Schizosaccharomyces pombe: one gene and its partner. Changing the gene in region 1 together with any one later gene gives a genetic interaction. Each region holds a gene or a part of one and is shown on either strand. Other genes may lie near its edges. The genes, in order: SPOM_SPBP8B7.31 and ftm6.

Region 1 (3,708 bases):
ACTTGATGCATCAATGTTTGTACCTAATTTATTCAAATTTCCCGCTTCCAAAATCGCATGTTCAGTTATGAACATCGTAAACGAACATGTCGGATCGTTTCTTTTGACACACCCTTCTATGGAATCCTATCGCAAAGATGATAACTTTTTGTGGCCTGAAGACTTGGATACCGTAACATCATATATGGAAAACATGTCAAAGAGGTATGCTAATGAGGAATGTACTGATTTACTGTTTTCCTCACTAGGCCGTATTTCTAGTATTTTAGCAAAGAAATATCCGGAACAATGCGCAATGGCTGCCTGGTGCAACATGACTGAAAAGGATACTGAGCGTACTTTGTAACTTTAACATTGCTTCTTCTTCGATTTATATATATTGCAATGCTTCTAGACAAACATGTAATGGAGATATAATTTCAAAATTATATATTTACTTGAGAAAAGTAAGTGTATAGTGATGTAATTTTTTTTAAGAATTTTTATAAAATTCATTATATTAATCAATTAAACTACTCTGTTATGTTCTTTGTTTTCCTAAACCGGTTTGCAACTATGCTCATATGACATTATACCGTTTGTATATATTTTTGTTATTTATTTATATGATACTTACTTAGTTTGCAAAAAGAAAAGAGAAAGTTCATAAGAAACCCCATATTACAGATTGAAGCAATTTAGGTCTTTAATAGATTTAATTTCTAAATTTGATTCTTCACCCATTAAAAGTAGTATCAGTGTTTCCCAATTTTAACAATGATACTGTGATTAAACAAAATACATCTCAATTCGAATAGAGACTTCTAAATATAAGTTAAAGCACGATAGTTGTTTTCTTAAGATGCAAGCAAAATTGATTAACTTTTCTTTCAAAAGAAAAATTAACCATGCATATGATTTTTTAGAAATGAAAGAATATTTAGTGAGTTTTTTTTAATTTTCTCCACTTGTTTATACCTTGCTCAAAGGACGCACGATTAAGGCCATCAGGAACTAAACAGAATGTAACACCAAGTCTTTCAACCTCTCTGTTCCTAGACTCATCATCAAAAAACACCATTTCTCGATAGTCAATTCCAGATTCGTTGTGGATCTCTTTGAAGTGATCCATTTTACTACCTATTTCACAATAACTAGTTAGCAATATGATTATTGATATTTTCTGTATTGACAAAAATGTATTAAAAGACATACCTGGCCAAGCTTTTACATAAGTGAAAAATTCGATAGCCGGCTTAAGACTTCCATCTATTGGTACCTTCATCAAATTCAATGCTTGTTTCGCATACTTGGGAGCACAAGTACGGCTAGCAACGCACAAAGTAACTTTTTGGTTCCTTAGCTCTTGTAAAATTCCAGTTATATCTGAGTAAAAACAAATCTCTGTGCCATATTTGTCAATCAAAACGCCTGGGTCATTTTTGGAAGGCTTAAATGGTGCAGTGACTGTGAAACTTTGTTAGAAAATAAAACATAAAGTAGATCAAAGTAAAAGATTTAATACCATGGGTATCTATCCAAAGAGGCCACAGAGTGTAGTCTAAGTCAAAAACAACGCATTTTGGGAATTCGATATTTTTTACCATATTTGCTTGATATTTTATGGTATTGGTTATTAGGTTCGTAAACAACAAGAATGAAAGTCTTTTTAAGAGTGATTTCAAGTTCAAAAGATTGACCGTAACGCTTTCAAGAAGTTTACTGCCAGTTTGCTAGTTCGATAAGATTGACACAATTTTAGTTGGTACGTTGATGTAATCCAATTTTTTTTAAAGAAAAATATATATATTCAACTTTTTTTGCATTAGTAATGAAAAAAACTTAGGAAACAAATGTTTGAATTTCATTAACTTTTATGAATTATTATTATTTAATTTAACTGTCTTTGATATTCTCAATAAACAAATAAACTGATACCAAAAAACACTGTGTAAATACCATGTTTTATAAAATTGATCAAAACTGTATACTACCAAATTACAGTCAATTAATCGTTGTCATTAACATATTCATTTAAACAATAAATTTTTTTACTGCATTTAATACATTTATATTAACCTGGGGACTTGACAGAGCTTACTAGCAAATTTAATTTTGCTGATGCATACTATTTAAAATTGAAGTAGCATTGCTACTTACCACCTTCGGGTACCTGTGACCGACAGCGAAATTGATTTACCTATATGAAAATCTTAAATGTAGCAATTGTTATTATGCGAAGTTTATGTGTCCCTCTGACTTTTCTAGTCGTTCTTTGTTTTTAGAAGCCAAAGAGGAAGAGTATAAACAAAGAAGGCGTGTTCCTTTGGACAGTAGAAGAAGAGTAAGGCGGGCATGTCTGTCTTGTCGGGCCAAGAAAATTCGATGCAGTGGTTCTGAACCATGTCAGGCTTGCATTGCTACGCCTTCGCAATGTAAGTATGCTGATTCTTTAAAAGAGCGTACTCCCTCAAAACAATTTATTGCGGAACTGAGTCAAAGGCAGAAATGCTTCGAATATCTGATGGAATTGCTGTGTCCTTCTCTTCCTCATGACACACGTAGTTTAGTCAAACTATGCAAACATGTCGAATCTTCATTAGCTTCTGGAAGCGACGTTCGTTCTTTGCTAATACCCGGGTCAATTGATCAATCTGTTTTAAAGGTTGCTGCTACAAACAATAAAGACGATTCGTCTGCTGTCAAGTCAGCAAACGTTTCTTTTCCTTCTTCATCTACTCCCCCCTCTTCGGATTCAAATTTCTCATCTATTCAAAACACTGATCTTAATACTTCCATCAAGTTTACTGAAAATATATCTGCTAATGCAATTCATGTGAACCAAGATAAGGTTATTAGAAGTGCCAATAATTTAATAATCAATTCCCAACCCATACTTCCTGTACGTTCATTCTTAGATGCTCTAGGAGAACCCATATATTTAAGTCCGACGTCAAGCACTTATTTTTTAAATTCTGTTTTAGCATCCTTACAGTTAAATTCAAGCAATACCCCAGAATCACTGCTCATTGACTATCAAAGTAAAATTCCGGAGGATCTCTCTTCCTCTTTATTGCCTTTAGAACTAAACACACTTCAATCGACCCCTACTTCAGTATCTGTAGGTTCAGCTTCTTCACAAGGAACTCATGAATATTCAATTATAAATTTGACCTCCAATCACTCATCTTTTTCATTAAAAGCTCTAAAGAAAATAGCACATAATTTGTTACCACCGGTTTCTGTCGCAGAACGTTATGCAAATGAGTTTTTCCTCCGGTATCAAAGTTTTTTTTACTTTTATCCTCCATCTGTTTTTTCTAACCGTTACCAAATCCTTGCAGATGGTTTAGTTAACTCAGATACGTTGGATACAGGATTTCTTGCTGTTGCTCTTTTAATTGTTGTGCTTGGTCACTTCTCAAATAACAACATTAATGTATTGCCCAAGGAAGTTCAGCTTAGTCATATTGATTCAATGATACAGATTTCAGAGCAATTAATTAGCTCTTTATTAAATCGCTGTACCCTTTCTTCTATTCAAGCTGTCTTTTTACTTTCACTATATCATTTTTTAACTGGAAATTTTAAATGTGCATATTCTTATTTAGGTTTTGCAATACATTCCGCGCATACCCTTGGTTTGGAGCATGGTTCAACTGATAACAGCACATTAAATGAAGTTTCAACTGAGGAGACTAGTATTCGCATATGCTGGTCCTTACGTGT
Region 2 (3,389 bases), 3.7 Mb from region 1:
GGACAAATTTTTATCGATTATTTGTGATTTACTGTGCATTGGGTTTCGGCATAACTAGAACTGTTCCTAAATATCTTATGATAAAAGGAATTAGTATTGTCATTGCTTTATGTTCTGTATACTGGATTTCTTTATATAAAGACGTATATGTAGTATCAGAGATTTTTGACATGATCCAGTATGAGGTATCTCCTGCAATTTGGGTGTATTCTATTTGTCATTTATTGAAACAATGCACGTCTGTAACAACTTACGAAAATGCTTCAAAAGCCAGATTTTTTAGAAGAATGCTAAATGCATTTATCTTTATATTCTGTGCATCTCCAATGTTGCATTACCTGTCGAATATTATATTTGGAAACTTTGATTACAGACTGTCGGTGATCATTGGTGATCTTTTCACTTTTATGGAGAAAATTGCTTTTCCATGTTACATAATGTTTCCCACCCATAATGAAGCACTTGCCTACAATCGAAATGTAGCTGAAGAGGCTCAAGAGAAAATGATTTGACAAAAACCATGGTTTACTTGATTCACCTTTAAAGGGGTTACCGGGATTATTTTATTTATTATTTGTTTATCAATGGATTAATATCCAGTTATTTTAATCTCACTTTTTTACACAGAAATTGTGTAGTAAGTTCATTCTTATTTAATATACCACCTATTTATTTTTTACAAATGAATATTTTTTTACTGGAACGTTTTAAATACACATAACCTTTGAGTCGATGTGAAATAATGTTTTGTTCAAACTTAAAAGTTGCGAATCTGACATATAGACAAAAAAAAAATAAAAAGAAAAAACTGGTTACCTTCATAAACATATTTTGCTAATTTATTGAATTTAATTATTTTCAACTTGCTTTCCCATTTTCCCAACAATTTTTTTATCTATAATATATATTTTACAAAATTAATATAGTACATCGCATGGTTTTCTTTAAAACGACATAAACGTATAATAATAAACGGGGATTCAAAGTAATAAATCGAATCCAAATCAACTTTCAAATACATCCATTTCATCTACTTTACCCTTATATTCCCCTTCATATCCCCAACAAAAAACAGGAATTTGCGAAAGTAGTAAATGGTAAAAGTGAATAAATAGAATCAAGGTTAAAAGCTTACTTGTATGCATAAGAAGATAACTCCCTCCTCTTTACTTTTGCTTAAAAACAGATTCTGAGATTCGGGACTAGCATCGGTAATATAAGTTTTTCTTTCATACTGTTGAGTACTAGCATCAGAACCCTTAATGGTAGGAAGATCATCATCATGACTACGCCTTTGTTCAATCGAGTAAACATTTGCTGGTTCGTGCCAGTCACACTGAGAACAACAAAGTACCTATTATTAAAAATGTTAGCAAGCGATCGCTAACAAGTTGAAAAGTAAACACCTCCAACTATTCCATGGAAAGCATGTAACAATGAAGATCAATGAATGGCTATTAGCTTAACAAACTTGTAAACTCAAAACAGACTAACAACGTTTGTCAGGCACTAAGAGCAATAATGGAACAGACTTCATATCAAACGCTTTCTTGAATGTTCTTACCTTATTCGTATAAACCGGAAGAACAGGCACAATGAGAACCGTTACGGTTTTCAACTGACGACATACTCGGACTAAAAACAAAATGTTATGTTAACATTAATAAGACAAGTTTAAAAAAAAAAAGAAAGAGCCAATTGCTTTCGAAACTACTCAACTTGTTTATTTCTCGTACCAGTCTTCTTTGAACTAAAAAAAAAAAAAAAGCATTAGCAAAATGTGTTGTCAAACGGATAAAAAGAGAACAGGAAGAAGATTGCTGGAAACAATTTTAAAACAGCGAATAAAAAAAAAAGAAAAAATAATAATAATAATAAACAAAATACGAGTCGCTAATTTTTGAAACTAATCGCTTCCAACAACTGTTTCATTATAACTTCACCATTTTAATATTGTCCCCAAACAGCATGATTTAATTCTCTTTCACTAATTTCATACCACACAGGACACGTAAGTAAAACATCCTTATAATCGTCAGTGGATATCCACATATCTCGTAAATGTAATGGCATTGTTAAAAAAAATAAACACTCAAGTGAATAGAATTATGAAGAATTCGAGTCTAGTTCAAAATATTTGTTTTGACAGAGTCCCTCTATTTATACCAAGACTAAGCCTCACAGTGAAATATTGTCTAGCAGTAAAATTGCTGATTTATTTATTATATTGTTGGTACATTTACTCGGAAGTACCATCGGCTTCATCTAAATTCCGATCCTTTACATTTGGATGCGTCGTAGTATATCATAACAAATTTTTTCCTCGTTTCATTAGAACTCACTCCATTAACTCCATTAGAACGTTTTCTAAATTTCAAGTCATTATACTTTTCTCTATTGAGAAAGTCACTAGGTCAGAAAGCAAGAATCATTCTTACTCGAAAACCGATATTAGTGATCTGCACCAGGGCTATAATAATCCACCATCAAGATTCATATCACAATAACAATTCCATAGTATCTTGCTATATACGTGTAATGAGTATTCGATACTGGCTTGATTGCTATTTCTCCTTTGCTTGTAATCGTAAAATTGACTTGAAGATCTAAACCTTCTAATGCAATCATTGGAATTCTGCCTAACCTGATCAAATATGGCTTGATCACCGTTAAGTTAAAAGCAGAAGCTATGCCAATCAGTATGATTGTAACTTACAAAAAAATATAGCACAACGACATACAACATTATGGTACAATAAAGAAGACTTGATATATCAAGAACGAGGTTCAGTTTGTGCTCCGTTTATATTATTGTATTTCTATATATGACATTACTTGATGCAACCGCTTAAATATGTACTTTTGTGTAGTTATACTCGCAAGTACAGTAGCATTTTTAAAGTAGCGGTGATGTTGACGAATGGTTTGTTTCAAATCCATCCATTTCAATTTCAATTGTAAATTTCTCTTTTTCAATTATTAATCAAGTAAGTTGAAGTGTATCAGCACAATAAATTCTGACTATTACTACTCTTAAAATAAAACTCAAGCGAAACTAATTTTTAATAGCAAGTCATATTCTTAGTTTGATATGCTATCCGCTTTGGTTTTGCATTGTTATGACTTTGTATAACCTAATAAGGTGACGAAAAATCAGTTCGTTTATATTTTTGATGAGAAGAATTCACTATTATTACACAGAAAAACATTTACTTCTTATTAGATACCTTCAATATAATATATTTTTTAAATGTAATAGCGACGACACTACCCATAATTTACAATACATTGTATGGTAAACAACTGAGTAGTTGATACACCCGATTTTCATTGAGTCATACACTTTGCGCTTACTATCACTTTATTTGATTAAATGCATAATTTACAAG

The links.
Region 2: mutations in SPOM_SPBP8B7.31 (region 1) and ftm6 together harm fitness less than expected from each alone (positive genetic interaction), as found in Schizosaccharomyces pombe (one large-scale study listed by BioGRID).

What each region holds. Positions count from the first base shown.
Region 1 is NC_003423.3:3,696,211-3,699,918, reverse strand, and holds SPOM_SPBP8B7.31 (acid phosphatase), read right to left. Parts: upstream 1,729-3,708; 5' UTR 1,587-1,728; coding exon 1,505-1,586; exon of another isoform or gene 1,447-1,504; coding exon 1,195-1,446; intron 1,126-1,194; exon of another isoform or gene 1,120-1,125; coding exon 1,000-1,119; exon of another isoform or gene 947-999; coding exon 882-946; 3' UTR 573-881; downstream 1-572. Other genes in the region: G1 cyclin Puc1, read left to right, coding at 1-346; DNA-binding transcription factor Thi5, read left to right, coding at 2,225-3,708.
Region 2 is NC_003423.3:8,503-11,891, forward strand, and holds ftm6 (transmembrane helix domain-containing protein), read left to right. Parts: upstream 1-2,066; coding exon 2,067-2,507; 3' UTR 2,508-2,849; downstream 2,850-3,389. Other genes in the region: ftm5 (transmembrane helix domain-containing protein), read left to right, coding at 1-512.